Linked DNA regions of Mus musculus: regions 2 and 3 are each reported to be linked to region 1. The links are microRNA targets in miRTarBase. Many come from high-throughput screens and were not tested one by one. Region 1 holds a microRNA gene; each other region holds the end of a gene's coding sequence.
What was found. Region 1 holds the annotated microRNA mmu-miR-216b-5p (AAAUCUCUGCAGGCAAAUGUGA, at 3,738-3,759, opposite strand). A microRNA usually pairs through its seed, bases 2 to 8, with sites in the 3' UTR of a target mRNA and lowers its output. Matches are read on the target gene's strand: a 7mer-m8 pairs with bases 2 to 8, a 7mer-A1 pairs with bases 2 to 7 and ends in A, and an 8mer does both.

Region 2: miRTarBase lists Cep97 as a target of mmu-miR-216b-5p. Seed matches in the 3' UTR shown: 7mer-m8 at 3,710-3,716, 7mer-A1 at 4,044-4,050 and 7mer-m8 at 5,629-5,635.
Region 3: the mRNA of Hmgb1 is a reported target of mmu-miR-216b-5p. Seed matches in the 3' UTR shown: 7mer-A1 at 4,635-4,641.

The regions. Positions count from the first base shown.
Region 1 is chr11:28,742,762-28,749,962 of GRCm38, reverse strand. Mir216b (microRNA 216b) reads right to left here and starts at 3,772; the gene lies at 3,687-3,772. It overlaps Mir217hg (a long non-coding RNA gene), which reads right to left. Exons shown (of 3, transcript XR_381119.3): 2 at 418-494. Mir216c (microRNA 216c) reads left to right here and starts at 3,697; the gene lies at 3,697-3,765.
Region 2 is chr16:55,899,070-55,906,270 of GRCm38, reverse strand. It overlaps Cep97 (centrosomal protein 97), which reads left to right. Exons shown (of 11, transcript NM_028815.4): 11 at 402-6,383. The coding sequence ends at 1,103. Among named protein-coding and RNA genes, the nearest start is that of Nxpe3, 7.4 kb to the right of the region's middle.
Region 3 is chr5:149,042,779-149,049,979 of GRCm38, forward strand. It overlaps Hmgb1 (high mobility group box 1), which reads right to left. Exons shown (of 5, transcript NM_010439.4): 4 at 6,949-7,123; 5 at 3,924-6,135. The coding sequence ends at 5,959. Among named protein-coding and RNA genes, the nearest start is that of Hmgb1, 6.7 kb to the right of the region's middle.

The DNA.
Region 1 (7,201 bases):
ATAACAAATATAGGCAATTCAAGCAATTATAGGAACATGTCAAACAGTACAAAGGACACTGACACAGAGTTTTGGGTAAGTACTGCATGACTTTGGGCTACTTTCCCTTTGAGCCTTAACAGTCAAAACACATTAATATAAGAGAGGATTTATTTAACCTGTAGAAAGTTCAGTTTTCTCATCTGCATAATGGAACCTTTAATAGTCAAGCTTCAGATAAAGTTATTGCAAGGACCAAAGGGGCTGTCTATGTAGCATCCATCATTATCAACACTCTACAAATAATTCTAAGTAAAGTAGCCACTCTCTTCCTTTACAGATCTGAATGCTAGGGTTCTGAGAAATACTTAAATTAGATGTTAATTACAACCCCTGGCATCCCTTGGAAGAAGAGGAGGAAAGCTCTTATGGATTTACCTGGCACAGCTCTTCTGGAAAAGCTGTGTGTCCTAAGGTCTTCTTGGGATCACCAGGGCTCAGACTAGGAACAGGACCTGGAGAAGGTGATAAGGAAAGAGGAAAGGGTGTTTAGGATGCACTGAAGGAGACTGACTGAACCTCCCATTGGCATCCTCTCCTTTGAAGTTTCACTTGTATGGATGCAATCTTGGAGGACTAGAAATAGAGTCTAGGCCATGACTGGACTGTGCAGTTCACCCCAAACACAAAAGCAACATTCTACATTTTTTTTTTTTGACAAGAGCTTTCTCCAGCAATGGGACACAAATATGATGACATTTAGTCCAGATTTTCTAAGCCATAGTTTCATGCTTGTTCTTCTGTACTACATTTTTTTTTCTAAAATGCCAAGCTGTAAACACTTACATAACTTCCTCTTCCCAATATAGAACCTTTCTGAACTTCATTTTCTTCATAAATTATGACTCTTTTAGAAATTAATTTATTTGCTATTTATGTATATGTGTATCTATATATGTATATATATAGATACATACATGTATATAGACACACACACATGAATGTTTTGTATGTATGTATGTATGCCTGTGCACCACATAGATGGTTAGTGCCTACAGATGCTAGAAAAGGATGCAGGGTAGCCTCTGATTGGAGTTACCAGTGGTTGAAAGCCATCATCTGTGTGCTGTGCTAGGCATTGGACTTAGGTCATCCAGAAGAGCAACAAGTGTTCTATACTGCTGACCCACATCTTCAACCTCTAAGTAAGACTCTTGGTTTTGTTTGTTTGTTTTGAGACAGGGTTTCTCTGTATAGGTCTGGCTGTCCTGGAACTCACTCTGTATACCAGGATGGCCTCAAACTCAGAAATATGCCTGCCTCTGCCTCCCGAGTGCTGGGATTGAAGGCACGTGCCACCACTGCCTAGCCTAAGTAGGATTCTTAGTACTTTTATTGTGTTTGTGAGAAAACAAAGGCAGATCACATGCATGGCATGCTCCATGCAGTAGTATCTATTGGATATTCATGTCCATATTGTAACAGTATGCTAGATTCCTAGTATTGCTCTACTATTGTTGTTGTTTCTCCAGTAGAATCCCATGTTTTGAAAGATTTTGCCCATCAATTGCATACATTTGTTAACCCTTGCTCTTTTTTTTTAAACCATTATCAAATGCCAGCTGGAATTGTAGCAACTGCAGAAAGGTTGAGTCAATTTGTGAAAGTCAAAAAGTCTGGTGGCTAGATAACCACTCTATTTTTATCAAAGTGAAAGTTCTCAGGGAGGAGGCACAGTGTTCTTTAAAACACCTTGCTGACCTCCCACACTATTTGTAGAGTCCATGAAGAGCTGAACTCTCAATTTTCAGTGAATGAGCCAAACCTCACTATTATGATCTGAGTAAATTGATGCTTTGTGTGTGATCTAATTCAAGTTTTGGTTGTTACATTTTCCATTGCATCATGGGAAATTGCTGTGGTCCAGAAATAATCAAAATCAATTGGTTAAGAGTTAAATGGAAGATGAATTCCTAACAAACTACTAGGGGTTACTGGTTATCAGGCATACCAATTGTTTATATGTTGTTTTGAAGTATAATACGAAAATTATGAAATTTACTCATTGTCAGAGGCCAAGTGCAATTGTAATTTACCCTTCAGCCATGCAGTTTTATAGTATTAAACACAAAGGAAATAGGTAAAAGTTTTCTTAGTAGATCATTTATTGCCAAATTTAACTCTTAATAGGGCAAAACTACAAAGAACATTGAAAAAGATAGTCATGTAGTCATCATTTATTTTGCCAAGATATGTTTCATAGAGAATAAGTCTTAAGTCTTCCTAATATTATTGAGCCAGGCTGAAATAATTTCATTGTAAAATCATTTTTCTTCTCTGTGTGCAGGCTAAGTGCATATTTTGTGACCTTAGAAATAACTTTCCAAAGCTGTGTGAAGAATGTAGCAATGCAATCTAATAAGAATTATGGCTCACAACTTGAATGATGTCAGTATCCTTTTACTCCTCCCAGACTAAAACGTTCTCTACTTCTGAATAGATTTCTTAACTCTTTATTTCTAAGGAGAGTTTTGTAATCTCAGTGGCAAAGAGTTGAAGATGAAACTTCCTCCAATCAATGATCATGTGTATTATCAAGACTATCATTTTACAAAAGTCATTCATTCTTGACAGTAATTTTTTATTGGACATTTTCTTTATTTAAATTTCAAATGTTATCTCCTTTTCTGGTTCCCCATCCCTCGAAATCCTCTGCTACATATGCGGCTGGAGCCAAGAGTCTCTGCATGTATATTCTTTGGTTGGTGGTTTAGTCCCTGGGAGCTCTGGGGGGTCTGGTTGGTTGATATTGCTGTTCTTCCTATGGGTTGCAAATCCCTTCAGCTCCTTTAGTCCTTCCCCTAACTCCTCCATTGTGGACCCCGTGCTCAGTCCAATAGTTGTGAATATATATTATTTTGTCAATCTTTGTTGTCCATTTGATGACAACTTAGACATATCTGGGAAGAGGGAGTCTCCATGGAGGAATCACTTCCACCTGATCGACCTTTAGGTGTGTTGGGGCATTTTCTTGATTGATGTTTGATGTGGGAGGTCCCAGCCCACTGTGGGCAGTCTCTCCTTCAGATGGGTAGATAGTAATAGGAAGTAAAAGGTAGCTAAATGTGAACCTGGGAACAAGCCAGTAAGCAGAGTCCCTTCATGGGCTCTGCTGTGGGCTTTCCTCAGTGATGGACTGTGAGCAGGATCTATATGCCAAATAAACTCTTTCCTCCCCCAAGCTGCTTTTGATCTGTGCTTTATCACAGCAACAGAAGCCTGAGTAGGACACTTTTTGTATTTTGTTTAGTTTGAGATGATTATTTTGAGTTCAGTTTTTTGACTGTGATCTTTTGTTTTCTTTTGGTCAGTGGTTACAAAGTGGAAGATCAGTCAGCATTACCTGGGCGAAAATTGCTAGAGCCAATTGGAGGTCCTGATGTGGGTGTTCCCATTTCTAACTGGATTTCGAGTGATGCCAACAATGGTTAGGTCACATCCTCATTGTCACTTCCCTAAGCCATGTTGCAAATTAACCTTACAACTTAATTTGGTGAGAATGAACCATCATCAGACATGCAGTCCTCTCAGATGAAGCCAAGGTTTAATGGACAAGCCTTCATTCGGTTATTTCACTAGACTTTGTACATGTCAGAGCAGAGAATATAGAAAAATCATTGCTTGATAAAGGGGTTTGATGCTTGATGTTGTCAGACTGAAGAATCTCTACAGGTAAGTGTGTGGTTTCTTCAGTGACATCACATTTGCCTGCAGAGATTTCCCAGTCTGCCAATGTGCAATTACATCTAAGATGTAAAACCATTTTTCACTCTACAATGGTCTTTCTAGTCTTGCTAAACTCTAAAATTATTATGTTTCAGAAATTATATTTATGAAACATATATTATTCATTTCATAAAATATTTATGAAAGATTGACATTAGGTAGGAAGTAAGGACTATAGATAGGATTCAAACACAAGAGCAAGAAAAAAGGCATTACGTTCTTCTGAAGGCTAAGGTAACAGGTAAATACCAGCTCTCTCACCTATAATGATGCTTGACCACACTGCAAACTTCACAGTCCTGGAGTTTCTTGAATGCCAGGCGATCTGTGTGCTAGAACTTGCATTTCTGTTTCTGCACAGCTTTTTAAACTTATAGATATATCTAAAAAGCACAAGGAGAGTGCACTAGGAGCTGTACTTGTCACCTTCATTTTCCCCATGTGTCTTTTATTACTTAGTAGCTGTCTAATCATCATAGATTAATCACATCATCTACGGCTAATTTTTAAAGCAACAAAATAATATGCAGTATTTACTATATGAGAACAGCACAATTTGTGATGATCACAATATCAACTCTGCAATGCTGATAGTTATTGCTCATGGAACTGTTTTCCATCTATTAACTATACAGCCATTTCACTATTTTAACAGAACAGAAAATTGAAATATTTTATTTCCTACTGTATCCCAGGCATATAGAAAGTGTTTGTACTGACTAGTTTTGTGTCAACCTGACACAGCTGGAGTTATCACAGAGAAAGGAGCTTCAGTTGAGGAAATGCCTCCATGAGATCCAACTGTAAGGCATTTTCTCAATTAGAGATCAAGGGGAAAAGGCTCCTTGTGGGTGGGACCATCTCTGGGCTGGTAGTATTGATTCTATAAGAGAGCAGGCTGAGCAAGCCAGGGGAAGCAAGCCAGTAAGGAACATCCCTCCATGGCTTCTGCATCAGCTCCTGCTTTCTGACCTGCTTGAGTTCCAGTCCTGACTTCCTTTGGTGATGAACAGCAGTATGGAATTGTAAGCCAAATAAACCCTTTCCTCCCCAACTGCTTCTTGGTCATGAATTTTGTGCAGGAATAGAAACCCTGACTAAGACAGTGTTAAATCAGCACCTACTACTTACAGTCCATTGATTTACTAAAGTCCTTTATTTCAAATGTCTACTATTAAAGAGGCATATATGTATGTGTATATATATATTCACATTTTATTGATATCAGAGTAAACACACTTAAATTCAGACAAGATAAGTAAAAAATAGAAATATATAAATGTTTTATGTATTTAGTCTTGTGCTATAATAGAGAATTTGAGTGATATTTGGTTTAGAGGCAAAAAGTCATGGTGAGTGCTTTCTCTGTAACTCCTGGACCCCACTGATCTTTTTACCATCTCCACAGTTCTTGCCTTTCCTCAGTCTTATTGTTGGAATCATATGGTAGTATATCGTCTTTTTCAGATTGACTTCTTTACTTAACAATAATATATACTTAGATTCTTCCATGTCCTCGCAGGTTTGTAATTAACCAATAATCATTCCTTCATTTGGATGTGCCAGCGATTATTCCTTTCCTAAAAGGCATCTTTATTGTGTGCCAATTTTGTGATTATGTCTAGGGAGTATGAACAATTGAGCTTGAGTTTCTGTGTGACCACATTGCCACCTCCTCTGGCTAATATCAGAGCCTGACTTATGAGTTCTGTAGTGACTCTATATATAACATTGAAAGACCCTGGCATATTCTCTTATAAGTAGTATTTTGCCTTCCAACTAGCAGTGAATGAGGTATCCTATTGTTCCAAATCCTTGGGAGCATTTGGTGTTGTCAGTGCTCTGGTCATTCCAATAGAAGTACCGTATACCTTTGTTTAATTTACAAGTCCTGGTGACATATAATGTTGAATATCTTTCAAATGCTGCTTCACACAGTTTTCTCCCCCTCCACACCGCGCCCCCCCCCCTGCCCGGCTTTTTGAGACAGGGTTTTTCTACGTAATCCTGAATGTTCTGAAATTCACTCTATTGACAAGGCTCACCTCAAACTCAGAGATCCACCTGCTTCTGCCCCCTCCTCCCTCACCCCTCGACACTGAGTGCTGGGATTGAAGGCACTACCACCATCCAATTTACATATCTTCATTAATAAAATGCTGGTTCAGGTTTTCCTTTCAGCATTTTAGTAGGGGTCATTTTCTCACTGTGTTTTAAGAGTTCTTTGTGTATTTGTGGGTAATATTGCTCTATGATGTAAATATTTAAAATTTTTCTTTTAGACTGTATCTTGCCTTCTCAGTCTCTTACATATAGAAGAGCAGAGTTTTACATTTTTAATAAAGTCATGTTTGTCATTTCTTTCAGGGATCTTGCTTTTGGTGCTAGATCTGAAAAGAAGGTCATCTAGGTTTTATGTTGTTTTCCTCTGGCAATTTTACAGTTTTTCATTATATATTTGGTTTAGAAAGTATTTTGAATTAACTCTTGGTTCTTATGAAGATTGAAAGATCCATGTCTAGGCTCACATTTTTATACATACATACATATCTAATATTTTAGCACAATTTTTGAAAAGACAAGAATTTCTCCACTGTATTCTTGATATCCCTGAGACCAGTCTACACAGGAGAGCACATGGGTGGCAGAAGCAACAGAGCTTCTTGAACAGGGTCCCTTTGGCCTTCATCCCCAGTCAGGAGGCAGAGCTGAGACGCAGATGGGTATAGTGCAGAATTCTATCAGACCTTCATAGAAGAACTAATTCCAGTTCTTCTCAAACTATTCCACAAAATAGAAGCAGAAGGTACACTACCCAATACATTCTATGAAGCCACAATTACTCTGATACCTAAACCACATAAAGATCCAACAAAGAGAACTTCACACCAATTACCCTTATGAATATCTATGTGAAAATACTCAGTAAAATCCTCACAAACCGAATCTAAGAACACATCAAAACGATCATCCATCATGACCAAGAAGGCTTCATCCCAGGGATGCAGGGATAGTTTAATATATGGAAATCCATCAACGTAATCCACTATGTAAACAAACTCAAATCAAAAATCACAAAATCATCTTGTCAGATGCTGAGAAAGCTTTTGACAAAATCAAACACTCCTTCATGATAAAAGTCATGGAAAGATCAGGAATTCAAGGCCCATGCCTAAACATAATAAAAGCAATATACAGCAAACCAGTAGCCAATATCAAACTAAATGGAGAGAAACTTGAAGCAATTCCACTAAAATCAGTTACTAGACAAGGCTGCCCACTTTTTCCCTACCTATTCAATATAGTACTTGAAATCCTAGCCAGAGCAGTTCAACAACAAAAGGAGATAAAGGGAATACAAATTGGAAAGGAAGAAGCCAAAATATCACTATTTGCTGGTGATATGATAGTATATATAAGTGACCCTAAAAATTCC
Region 2 (7,201 bases), not on the chromosome of region 1:
ACTACATTTTAAAATAACTGGAAACCCCATGTCTGCATCTATATCTAAAATAGACTCATTTTAGAAGATGCACTTAGACTCAGAGGTGCTAATCGGCCCTTATCGACTAGATGTTGTCTATATTTTGCACATTATCGATCCGTTAGTGAGAAAGATGCTGTCGTATTTCTCCCGTGAAGCAGGAGAACTGCTATGGCCTTCCTCTCGTGCTGGGGGTTACGCTTTGCTGCCAAGGACATAAAACACTGTGCCTGCCCAGTTAGGCTGGGGTCAGCCCTGTGAAGGGATTAGACGGGTAATGAATGCAGGCAACTGCAGGACTTCTGTGGGGGAAAAGCTCTGGACATTTAAAAAAGACAGGCTGTTTACTTTCTACTAAAACTGTGTGTCCTGGTTTCCAGGTAAGATCTGTACAAGCTTGGCAGCAGACAGTGGAACAGCGTCTGGCTTCCTGGCCGCCCGACGTGCCTCCTATATCAAGTACTCTGGCGTCACCCAAGCCCCCGTTATTTCCACATCATCAGGACCCCTCTTCGGATCAGAGTTCGGACTGGCTCGTTGCTGAGGACGAAGCTGCGCAAGGGAGATCAGCGCCAGACTTTCCCGACTCTGGGTTTCACTCCTCCCTGACAGAGCAAGTTCCCTGTCTGCAGGATTCGTTGGATTTTGAAAAGAGTTCGGTAGAAAGCAGCGAAAACTCCGTGTTGGGGAATTCCGCTGACACGGTGAAATGCGTCAAAGACCGAGACTCGGAGGCCACAGCCGAGGAGCACAGTGACTGCAGTAGGGAGAGCTCAGCCAGTGAGCAGGACAACACTCTGCTCCAACAGTATTTAACCTCCGTCCAGCAGCTGGACGATGCCGCAGAGGCGGCCGATTCTGACGATGTGGCAGGAGACGGTAAGCGTCACCTCGCTTGTTCTCCGGAAAGGTTTGACGCCTCCTCTGACAGTGAGACTCATAGAGTGGCCTCTACTTCACAGGATGAAATTAGCCAGACGCCAGAGAATTGTCAGTTAAACGAAGAAGCCCAAGGGCAGCCTCCGGAGTGTGACCCTGCCTTTCAGGGGTTGCATGTGGGTGTCACTGTGCAGCCTGTCTGATTTACTGGGGAGCAGAAATTCAATTCGATTTTCTTATGTTTTCAAGTGTCTCTTTTGCAGGGGAGCAACCCTTTCCCCCATTTTGTTATTATTTATATACAACTTGTTTCCTTGTCCCACACTTTTTAGATATTAGCTACTGAACTACGTCTTCATTTTCATTGTACTACTGTACTAAACAATATTGATATTAAAAGGCATATGCACTTTATTTCTTAATAATTACACCAATAATGTTTCCTTTACATCCGTACTGCCTTTCAGGAACAGTTCCTTGCAGTAGTTTTGGTGATTTAAGTAGGAGAACTTGGCTCTTGTTAGTCACATGGTAAGGGATGGAATATGTAAGGCACGGCTAGGGTGAGGACTATGGAAAAGTGAAATTTCCCAGGCAGTCTCCTTGGCCTAAAACTGTGGCTTTCCACCCTTTGTGTTAAGGAAAGCCTTCTTGTATAAGAACACTTAGGGAGAATAAGGTTTAGTGTGTGTGTGTGTGTGTGTGTGTGTGTGTGTGTGTGCGCGCGCGTGCCTTATGTGTGCGTGCTGGCATTTAAAAGTCTGAGCCTGGAGAATGGTCAGCATGTGCCCGGCCATTGAGCTGCTCACCTAACTCCCAGATCGTAAGACTTTTAAGTGGGTGATTAAATTGCCTCATGACAAACATTAGCTAATTTGTGGATCAGTTTTGAAGTAAGGTATTCCATCAGGATTAAAATCAAGCTTGCTCGGGCAAGTATCTTTCTCTTTGCTATGGAGAAAGGAGACATAGAGTTAGTCACTTGGAACCATGCTGTTCAAATGCCTCTTTTCATTATGTACTCTTTTAGGCTGTTGACATTTATGTGCCAATACTTTGGGGAAGAAGTAGATCGTAAGAAATCAATATGTATTCATCATTATGGTCTTGCTTTTATTTCTATATATACTTCACCAGAAGAGCCAAAGCTACACTTCACAGTGTGTGTGTGTGTGTCTGTGGACCACAGGAGTTACAGCCCTGTGCATGCCCCATGGAGCTGTGTCTCAGTCCTTATTTCACTCGTGACCTTTGTCCCTTAGTGAAGAACGTTTAAAATCCTGATAGACTGCAAATGTTGTTTTTTTCCTGAAGAATTTTTTTTATCTAATCTCTGAAAAGTGCCATATTCGAAGGACAATGTACTGGTGACTAAGAAAAGATAAATCCAGCTGGGCTTGGTGGCGCATGCCTTTAATCCCAGTGCTTGGGAAGCAGAAACAGGCAGCTCCCATGAGTTCAAGGACAACCTGGTTAAAAGTAGGTGCTAATATCATCCATTATTCTATTAAAGCCATTAGAGCCCTTTAATTGAAAGTATATAAAAACAAAAGTTCTGGTCCTTCCAGAATAGAGTTGAGGACCATGTGGTACTTGCTGAGAGGAACAGCTCTACCTTATGGCGAGCTGAATTCATAAACACATAGTACTCAGGTTGAGAAGGCTTGCATTTCATTCTCAGAAATCCAGAGTCCTTTGACAAGGACATGTTTTCTGGGTTTTATAAACAGAACAAGTCTTGAGTTCAAACTATTTCCTCTAGTATAGATGTGTACTATTGAATGCTTGATTGATTAAAACTGAAAAGTTAACTCTGAATAATAATTACCTTTTATAATTTTGCATTTCTTTTAAAATACTTAATTTGTATGCGTGTGTTTGTGTGTGTGATAGTGTCTGTCTGAGTGTATGAGAATATGTGTGTATGTGTGAGAGAGTATATATGTGTGTGCTGTGTATGTGTGAGAACTTGTATGTGTATGTGAGAGCTTGTGTGTGTGAAAGAGAGAGTGTGTGTGTTTGTGTGTGAGAATTTGTGTGTGTATATGTGCAAGGGAGAGTATTTATGTATGTGTGTGTGCCTGCTGGAGGAAGCCAGAGGTGGGTGTCAGCTCCCTTGAACCTGGAGCTGACAGGTGTTTGTAAACCGTCCCTCAACCCTACCTTTTTTATTCCTTTTTCAATAGGCAATAAGAATTTTTCTTATTTTTCTATTTTTACAGTTAAGTGCCTCATTTGCTGCCCACAGGTAAAGAAAAACATCTCACTGAGGTAGCACCAAAACTGTTTCACGGCACATTAATTTCAGAAAAGTGGCTCCAGCGCTACGGTTGAGCGTCCCAGAGCGCCGTTCTGGTAGTTGCTTTTTCCTTTTCTTAAGTCATGGAATCTAGTCAGATCTAGCCATTTCATCTGATAGACACTGTCAGCAGAACTTATTGTTCTTTTGTCTGGTTTTCTAGTCTGAAAATGGCATTCAACATATTTTTTTTGTGAAAAACTTGGCAGAATATGCTAATTGCTCATATTCTGCTCTACCTCTCTCTTATTTTATCTCAGTTTAGAAGTATGGGAATGTGAAGTCGCCTGCTTCGAGCTGCAGAGAATCTTGACTATAGGTGAAAATGCAATATGCCAGAATGTAGGAAAACTAAGACAGAGACCTAACGTATTTTTATTGGTTTATAGAATTTAAAGGTAACTAAGGGATAGTAATTTATGTGACTCTGGATTATTTATTAGTCTGGCTGGGAAGGGAACAGACTAGGGAGTCTGGGGAGTTGAACTTTGAACTTGGCTTTTTTTGATAAGAGATTTTTGTTCAGCTGTGCTGCTTTGGCTCAGATACATTCTCGCATTATGGAGGACTTGTCACTTCGAGTTACTGCAGAGGCATAAACTTGTACCACATAGGCAGGCAAGACTGGCACATGCCTTTAGTCTCAGCCTGTGCGACGAGGCAGATACAGGCAGATCTCTGAGTTTGAGACCAGCCTGGTCTACACAGAGAAACCCTGTTTCAAAAAACGAAACGAAACCAAACAAAACGCCCACAAGCCTCCTACCACCACCCCCCCGCAAAAAAAAAAAAAAAAAAAAAAAAAAAAAACTCGTCATACCCTGTGAAAATCAGAAGGAATCTTGAGATTATCTGTTGCCATTACTATTGTTGTTATTATTATCGCTATTATTATTGTACAATGTAAAAGAGATGCTGGCCTTATGGCAGCGACTGACTGTTTCATTGTGCAGAGGAAACAGCAACCCAGGGATGATAACCAGCCTGTGTAAGGTTGCGGTAGCCAGCAGTAAACTGGAAACATGTTCGTGTATTTCAAGCTTTCCATAACCTTCTCTGTCCATCTTTACAGGAATGAGTAAGTTGCTGCATTTTAAACAGGAAAAACAGCTTTTAAGAGAGGCCCTTTAATGGCAGAGTTGTAGCAAACAGCTAAATCTTTCAGAACCTTGAATGAATGTTCTCCAAAAAAACCAAATGGGACTTTCTTAAAGTTGTTTGTATGAAGCAATAATAGCAGCCGGAAATGGCAGTGCACACTTCGTTTTTTTGTTTGTTTTTTGTTTTTTGAGACGTGGCTCTGTAGACCAGGCTAGCCTCTAACTCAGAGATCCTCCTGCCTTTGCCTAACGAGTGCTCGAATTAAAGGCATGCAGCATCACAGCCCAGCAGCGATACACACTTGTAATCACAGCACTTGGGATGCCGAGGCAGGAGGATCTGAGAGTTCAGGGCCACCTTCAGCTACATAGTGAGATTCAGGCTAACCTGGGCCACCAACAGCAATAGTAAAGTTAAAATTTTAGGAAAGAATCACTGTATCTTAATCATTTATTTGATGACAGCTAATCTTATAGATTACCAAAGCAGATAAAATTTTCTCAAGAAATACTGAATTTGATGCTTCATGTTGCCTTTTATAGAGCAACAGATGGTAAGAATTTTACACTCCTGGTGTGAGAAAGATCTAATCATGACAGCTGATAATATTCAAATAGTTTGCCCTTATACGTCTAACTATATAGGACACTATAGTATGCATGTTTTAGAAAATGTTTGGCCACATGGTTGTTTATTTGTAAATAACTCTGTTCTTTGATTATATGGTGCTGTTCTTGACTGTATGTTTTCCCTGGGTTTAGTTTAGGTTATTTTCAAAACACAAGCATCATAACTTTTCTGTTATCTATTTATGGCAAGTCTTCTACTTTTCATAAATGCTTTCAGGAATATACAGCTTTAAATATTATACTATCTCTCTTGGTAATTTTTTTATGTAAAATATTAAGATTGGATTTATAATAATAATATATATTTTTCCTGAAGTGGGAAGGGGAAAGCAGTCATTGGATTAGTTTCCATTCATAAAGAAATACGAGGCTCAGTTACACGGTTGTTTAATGTATATTCTTTGTTTTGTTTTGTTTTTCTTTTTTTCGAGACAGGGTTTCTCTGTATAGTCCTGGCTGTCCTGGAACTCACTTTGTAGACCAGGCTGGCCTCGAACTCAGAAATCTGCTTGCCTCTGACTCCCAAGTGCTGGGATTAATGTATATTCTTATTTTGCCACATCTGTGTTAAAAGAAGTTTATTGTAGTTATGTTTTTAACTTTAAATACATAGTACTTTTATTTTTTTGAGACAGGGTCTGTCTAAAAAGCCCTGGTTGTCCTGGAACTCACTCTGTAGACCAGGCTGGCCTAGAACTCAGAGATTGTGTTTGCCTCTTCCTCCCAAGTGCTGGGATTAAAGGCATGCACTACCGTGCCCAGCCGTGGCGCCCTTGTTCTTGAAGTGAAGCAGAAGTAGTTTGTAAGGAACATTTTCAATTTTTTTTTTCTTTTTTTGAGGTGAGGGTCTCATTATGTTGTCTAGGGTTGGTCTTGAACTCCTGGCCCCAAATGATCCTCTTGCCTCAACCTCCAGAGTAGTTGGGACTATAGGCACAGAAACATTTAAATTGAGAATTTTGGTGATAAAGTCTATTGTGCCATATTACAGTTAAGCGTCATGTAAACAAGGTGGGCCTCATAGTCCTGGAGAGAAACTGACCCCCATCTTTCTAGGCCGAGGCGCTTCTTATTGTTAATGGGTGGAATCACACTGGACTTTAATTCTTTTCATTAATTTTAGTGGATAGAGGGGATTGCTCCTTAGAGTGGCCTTGTCAGTACATTTCTTTGGATGTTTTGTAATATTTGTGTGTGTGGTGCTAGCATGCTAGACAAAGCACGGTACCACTTTACAACATTGCAGCCCCGTGTTCCAGATTATCATTAGTGTCGGCAAGAAGAGTTTAAAGATAATTTGATTTTGCACCATTTCTTGATTTTTTTTCAATGTTGGTACAAACAGTAAGACTTAAGGTGGCTGAAGTCTGTTTTATGAAGGCTTTTCTATTTTATATTGTGCTCTTCATTTGTATTTGAGTCTGTCTAATTTGAAATAAAAGCTTTATACATTTAGGTGTGATATCTGGTTATTTCAGTGATTAGCCGAAGTTATTACTCATTGTGCTCACAGTTAATTGGTAGATAAAGTTTAGAACAATTTTACTTCAGAAAATTTAGAGTGTTGACATCGTATATAGAAAGCATGAGACTCCTTGCCAAAGCATTGTCCTTTCTCCACAAAAGAAGCACTGGGAGTTTATCCCAGGCACCTCTTACGTAGTCCTTTGAGGGTGAGTTCATTTAGAAGCATGCTCAGCTAAGAAGTAGATTCCTAGCTGGGCGTGGTGGCGCACGACTTTAATCCCAGCACTCCGGAGGCAGAGGCAGACGGATTTCTGAGTTCGAGGCCAGCCTGGTCTACAGAGTACAGAGTGAGTTCCAGTACAGCCAGGGATACAGAGAAACCCTGTCTTGAAAAACCAAAAAAAAAAAAAAAAAAAAAAAAAAAAAAAAAAAGAAAAAGAAAAGAATGGGTGTTTAGTTTGCATGTGAGTCTGCGCATCACATGTGTATGCTTATGGAGACCAGAAGAGAGTACTGGAGTTACCAATAGTGTGAAACACCACGTGTGGGGGTGCTGGAAACTCACCCCAGGTCCTCTTCTAGAGCAAGTGCTCGTAACCACTGAGCCATCTTGCCAGCTGAGGACCAAGAAGTTTTAGCTGAGAATAAAGGCACAGGTATGTTGAAGGTGTATTAAGTCATGCCTTAGCCTCTGAAGGTGCCTGCCCTTCGTACTCACGAATGGATGTCCTCTGGCTGGTGATCCTTGATCTTTCCTGTGCCCAGCATATGATGCCTACCTACTCTCCATATTCTTTTTTTTCCT
Region 3 (7,201 bases), not on the chromosome of region 1:
ATCTAATTATCAAAGTGAGGACAACTGGTTTTGTTTGTTGTGACAAGAGTCTCATTGTGCAGACCAGGATGCCTTGAACTAACTCATAGAGATCCTCCTGCCTCTGTCTCCTGAGTGCTGGAACTAAAAGCACGCACCACCATGCCTGGCAAAGTTTTTCAGCAGTTTCTGTGGTGTGCGTAGCCGCCGTCCTTTCTATGATCTTCTGGAAGATTCTGCTGCAGGTGTAACCGCAGTGTTAGCTGTCCCCATATGTCAAATTAAAGAAGCATAGCAGGAAGAGAGAGTCTAGGTGGTGAAGTCGAGGAAGGAGCAGGGAGGGGTGGGGGGGCATATTTCAGGATACTGATACTACAGGCAGCTGTCCTCCAAATCTCCATGGGCCACTGTCTACTACTGTGGAAAAAGGCCCAGGCTAGACTGCAGTTGCCCTATGGCCTCTTTGCATCTAACATGCCATGACCTGGGACTGGTGCTGTGCTGTGCCTTGAAGTTGACCGTGCCCAGATTTGCAGTGATACTGGGTGGCAGTGTTTGGCCTCCAAAGAAAGGACGTTTTTTCCTCTTGTCAAAAGAGGCTATCTAGTCTGTATTTGAGCCATCATGTGCCTAACCTGTTCCCTGTGCCAAAGCCCCACGCAGACAAGTCCTCATGACATATGGTGGAGCCAGTCGGGAAACACACACTGGGTGAACAATAGCAGTGTCTGCTCTATGGAGCCTCCAAGGTCTTGTCCTTCAGGCTCTCTGGGTATACTACACAGCAGTTAAAGGACCCGAGTATCTTTTCCTTACCTTAATACTCTGACATCCAGAAAGTAACTTACGTCTCTTGTTTTTGTTTTTAATGTTCTTGCTTGATGTTTAAACTACTTTTTAAAAGATTTATTTTATTTTTATTTATATGAGTACACTGTAGCTGTCTTCAGACACGCACCAGGAGAGTGCATCCGATCCCATTACAGATGGTTGTGAGCCACCGTGTGGTTGCTGGGAATTGAACTCAGGACCTCTGGAAGAGCAGTCAGTGCTCTTAACTGCTGAGAAGAGGACCTTGGACTATTGAGATGGTTCAGTGACTAAAGGAGCTTGCTACAAAGTCTGGAGACTCAAATTCAATCCTCAGGACCACATGGTGGTAGGAGAGACCTGACTCGCACAAGTTGACCTCTGGTCTGACTGTGTGCCATAGTATGCACACACATGTAATTTTTAAAAAGATGACCTGTCATTGAAACTAGTAACCAAAATAGCCACTAACTAGTGATTCTATAAAAATCTAAGCAACTAAGCCTACCTAATTAAATGCTGCAACTAGGGTTGTGTTTGTAAATGCTCTGGAAGGTTGTTCACTACCCTGAAGTACCACTCTCAGCAAGGAAAATGAAGCACGGTGACCTTTATCCTACCAAAGCCAGACGTATGGTCTGTTCCACCTTCACAAACAAGCACCCTCCGTCCACTGAGGGTAGAATCCAGTCTCAGTTCTATTGTACACCCACCCCACTGCTTTACCCCTACCTCTCCACCACACACCACACACACACACACACACACACACACACACACACACACCCTAACCCTAACCCTAACCCTAACCCTTGCCCACCGCCACCTTTCCAAACCTGTTTGCTGCAGCTTTTGTTAAGACTGAGCCTCCCTCTCCATAGAAACACCAGACACTTCTGTTTAAGATCAAGGACCTAAAACTCGGAAGCTCCTCGGTGCCACACAATGATTTAATACCTAGTGATGGCCAAAACTTGTAGCAAGTTAGCCAGAGCCATTGCAAGTCTTCCAGCTCTGATTCAGCCTGCGTTCCTGATTATGTCTGTAGGGAACTCTAGATAAAAGATTTCGTTTTTTTAAGAAATAAAGGCTCCTGTCCAGTATCATGGCACATGCCTTTAATACCAGCACTTAGGAGGAGTTCCAGGACAGCTAGGAAAGCAAGCCTGTCAAAAAACAAAACAAAAGAAAAAAATAAACAAAACAAAAACACTAAAACCAAACCAAACAAAACTTAAAAAGTTTTTTTTTTCATGGATCCAAAGAACTGATAAAATTCTGTCATAAAGTCCATGTTAAAATGTTGCAGTGTAAGCACACTTTTGGGGGGCAATTTATTGATATCTGCCAAAATGTTGAATCCAACTATCTTTTGACTCAGCAGTCCTCCTTTGAGACATTTACTCTGAATATGTACAAATGCCTGAGAGGAAAAGGCAAACAGTGGGTGTCTCCCAGAAAGGAATCGGACCATGAGACATTAAGACTATGGACGTCCACTTATACGTCTCATTACTACTCAGGACCACCTTGAGGTGCACAGTGAGTTCAAAGCCAGCCTGAACTACATAAGACCCTGGCTCACACAAACAGATGGACAAAACGGAATGGGCAAGTCCAGCTTGGTTGTAAAGAGCCCTTACTGTTCTCTCACAGAACCTGGTTTCAATTCCCACCACCCAGAAGGCAGCTCGTAACTGTTTCAGGAGACCCGAAGTCCTCTTCTGGCTTTCATGGGCACTGCACGCATGTGGTGCATACATACACGTGGGCAAAATACACACAGGCACTTCAGAAAAAAAAAAAAAAGCTAGAAGTGGTGATATGCATCTTTAATCTCAGCACTAGGGAGGCAGAAATATGTGGATCTTTTACCTTTATGAGCCAGCCTGGTTGACATAGTGAGACCTTGTCTCAAAAAATTATTTTAAAATGAAAAAAATTTATATACCATATACCTTTATAAACATCTGTCTGTCCTTCCCCCCTCTTTCCTAAATTTGGTGGTGGGTAGGGGAAACTGGAAACCCAGACTCTAAGCACACACTTCCTGACTATAACCCCAACTCTCTCCTGATGCTCTAGCCCTGGATTCTAGCTCCCAACCCCCGAGATTCTATATTCTATAGCTGCATCACTACGTCATTTTCCACTAATGTCCAGTAGACTCCAGCATTTAGGGTCCAAACCAATTTCCATGCCGCCTGGGATGGTTTCCTCCGGACAGATGGTGTTTCGAGTGTGGTAGACTGTTGTATGTGGTTTGCGTTTTCTGTGCCATCGAGTATCCTGGAATTGCATTACTGGAGCCCAGCAACATTGCCTCTTCACTCAAGGAAGTAACTTGGCTGAACCCCAGGGAATTTCCCGAAATCATTAGCACTGCTGTACTTAGGGATGATGTGGCCACCCAAACGGCTTTCTGTCTTCTACCCAGTATCAAGAGGTATTTCAAGGATCATGGGAATTGATGTAAATGGAAAAACAAGCTTAAGGAACTTGTCACAGTCCCTTATTGATGGACCTAGCCACCAGTCAATGGTTCGCTTAATGGTTTGAACTTATGCTGTGACCGTGCCCAGATTTGCAGTGATACTGGGTGGCAGTGCTTGGCCAAAGAGACTGGTACTTTCTTTCCTGTACAGTTCAATGCACTGCACCAGAGCTATACTTGGTGGCCAATATATATATTGATATAATCATTTCATACCCACTATATATATATATATATATATAGTGGGTATGAAATGATTATCAGAAATAGTGGCATGTGTCACTTTTAAAATACAGAAATCCTACCAGGAATGGTGACACATACCAATCATCACAGCACTTGGGAAGTGGAGGCAGGAACCAACCTTCTGCTACATAGTGAGCCCAGGCAAGACCTACATTAAAACCTAATACTAAAATCTGTAAATTTCAGCCCTAAGAGTCAATACACATAGTTCCAAGGGATACAGCTTAGATGCTGAACAGAACTCCTTCTCAAATTTAAAGAGGTTTTTTTTTGTTGTTCCATTTCTTGAAGTCAGGATCTGAAGCTGGTTAAGCAAGGCAAACTGTTCCCATTCTTAACATCTTTAAAAGGGTAGCTGTCGCGACACACCCACTAAAGTTACAAAGACGTTTCCTTGAGGCAGAGTTCACTTTTAAATGGATCACTTACTAACAACAGATGTCCACAATGGTAGTTCTAAAGCAACAGTACAAGTTTCCAAGCCAGTCACTTGTTCTTAAGTTGGTAATCGAGACCATTACGGCCTGCGGAGGTCCTCTACAGGCTTAAGAACACACGTGCAATCTTTAAGACCAACCTCGCTTTTCACTTAACATTCAGATTATGGCTCCTCATATGTATAGATTAGGGATGCTCGATAAAAAAACCTGTTTTTACTGCCCTCTAGCCTATTTAACATTTTAAAACTGTGTTCATGAATGGAGGGAGCATTTGGTCAAAGCATTTTGGAAGCTGGTTCCCTCCTTTTGCCATCGGTTGTCAGGGTTGGCAGCCAACTGCCTTTTTACCCACTATCTCACTGGCCCCAGCATCAAGGGTTGTTAATGGGAAAGAGCCTTTCAGTTGTTTATACTATAAGGCACTATTATAAAGTGTGACCAAAAGCTTAAATTCTTAAGTGAAAGTCATTTAACTAATATTTAAAACCTCTGTAATTATTAGTTTATTAGTATCATCCAGGACTCATGTTCAGTATTCCTCCTCAAATTACATTAACAACGCAAATGTAAAGAACCCAAGTCAAAATTATATAACAGCACTCCATCACAAAAGCGCGTGAAATTACAAGAACGCTATTTAAAACACTGGCACTTTAAGAGAACGATAATCTCAAAAAAAAATCCACAAAATTGCCAAATTGTTCCCTAAACTAAGCAGATTAAACCTGATTAATGAATGAGTTTGGGTTTTATAAAGAAAAAGCAAATGTATTGGACAAATGGTACTAATATGCAAAGTTTATCCTCTTGTATCTGATTCATAAAGGGACAAACCACAGTATAGGAAAATATACCCTTCATTTTAAATGTGGCATAATTTTAAAAGCTGGCTCAAGTAATTAAAAATACCTTTAAACAGTCAAGTTTCCTGAGCAATCCATATCTAGATAGAAGGGCAAAGGCTTTACAGCCAGCGTTCTTGTGATAGCCTTCGCTGGGACTAAGGTCAACAAATAGTACAGCAGTCTTGTATTTTAAGCTCACACTTTTGGGGATACATTCTCAGGTCTTCTTTAGTAGGGGAAACTGCAAAATATAACTGTCATTACACAGTAATGGCGGTTAAAGGAGAGTCCTCGTGTAAGGATTAGAAGGTACTTTTCTATCAGTCCTTCAAGGACAGACGTTCAGATTGCTTGATCCTAATAGTCCCACGGTGTGACAGTATTGATCACTCCTTGCTTTGCCAAGTAGGTTATATAATATCTCTTATCCAACTATCACGATTTAGGAGATTCTTCAACTATGGATGAAAATGTTACCCTACCACAATGGCAGGGCATGTGGACAAAAGCTCTCTTCCAGCTAACTAGATGAAAGATAACACACTAATAATCCATGTGACCCAAAATGGGCAAAGCAAAAGACTAGCTTCCCCTTGAGAAGAAAACTTTCAGACCTATGAAAAGGACAACAATACTAATAAAAAAAATTGTATTTACTTAGAAGCATTCAGAATGTCAACAAAACAGCCGCAATTTTTTTTTTGCAATTACAGAGTGGTATTCAGTTAACAGAACAACAATTATCTTCGTATAAGCTGCATCAGAGACAACTGAAGATGAAAAAAATAAAACCCAAAAAGAAAACCAAAAGAAAAAAAAAAAAAAACAAAAAACCAAACTACTGTCCCCATATATAACTAATTTGTGCTGTGCACCAACAAGAACCTGCTTTAAATTTCCATGCCAATTTACAACCCCCAGACTGTACCAGGCAAGGTTAGTGGCTATTGAAAATACCACCAGGACAGGGCTATCTAAAGACACATTCGGTAGTGTGTTAACTATACAAAAAAAGACACTGTACAGTTTAAAAACAAATCTTACACAGCCTTACATTTCAATTTTTTTCTTTAAAAGGAGTGAGTTGTGTACAGGGGGGTTAAATGCTTTATAGACAAGAAAAAAAAACTGCGCTAGAACCAACTTATTCATCATCATCATCTTCTTCTTCATCTTCGTCTTCCTCTTCTTCCTCCTCTTCCTCATCCTCTTCATCCTCCTCATCATCTTCCTCTTCCTTCTTTTTCTTGCTCTTTTCAGCCTTGACCACCCCCTTTTTCGCTGCATCAGGTTTTCCTTTAGCTCTGTAGGCAGCAATATCCTTCCAAAACAAGGAGAGGAGAATGAAACAAAGACAAAAAATAAAACTTCACAAAGTCTCCACAACACACAGGCCCATTGTACCTTCCCAAATAATTAGACCAAGGGAAAAGGCAACATAAAAATGAACAATTTGCAATCTACAACTCATGAAATGTCAGACTAATATTTGTGTTGTTATGCCTCACTGAAGTGCAATTATATACCACATCCTAATTCTAGTTTATGAGGACTAGAAGGCAGACTGATCAAAGAGTAATACTGCCACCTTCTGAACACAAAACAGCATTCTACAGGTTCACAGCCAGAGTTTAATCCACAGAAGAAAACTGGGGGGAGGTTGGGGGTGTGTATCTAAAAAAATAGACATTTTCAGAAAAAATTACCTCAACAAAAATTAGCTTTTAGGTATTTTAATTTATGTATACGAATTACAATTTTCCTCCATTCTAATGACAGTTACCTTGGCAAGCTTAAAGTTTAAGCAATTTTATTTTAATCCAAAGTGAACATATAATAATTTGCACATAGGCAGTACAGTTACTTTGCCCAATCTATTTTTGTAGTGTATGCACATAACCATTTAGAAACCATTCTCACCAAAAGTAGCTACAAATTTCCCCCAAATTTGGATACATACTAAGAAATACAACTAAAACAGCTTAAAGGCCTTAGCTCAAATCAGATTATAGGAAAACTGAACACACTATTGGCCGTTCCTGTATGAAAACAACGAAGCCTGCAAACAAAGAGGAAATAAGACGAGTTATCAAGTATAATCCCCTAACACTGGGTATCCTGTCATCCTCCTTACCTTCTCATACTTCTCCTTCAGCTTGGCAGCTTTCTTCTCATAGGGCTGCTTGTCATCTGCTGCAGTGTTGTTCCACATCTCTCCTAGTTTCTTTGCAACATCACCAATGGATAAGCCAGGATGCTCGCCTTTGATTTTGGGGCGGTACTCAGAACAGAACAAGAAGAAGGCCGAACTAAAACCAGAAATGTACTTTTAGGATTTTAACAAACTAAACACTCAACTCTGTACTGCTCTGCAGTGTTTAAGTAAT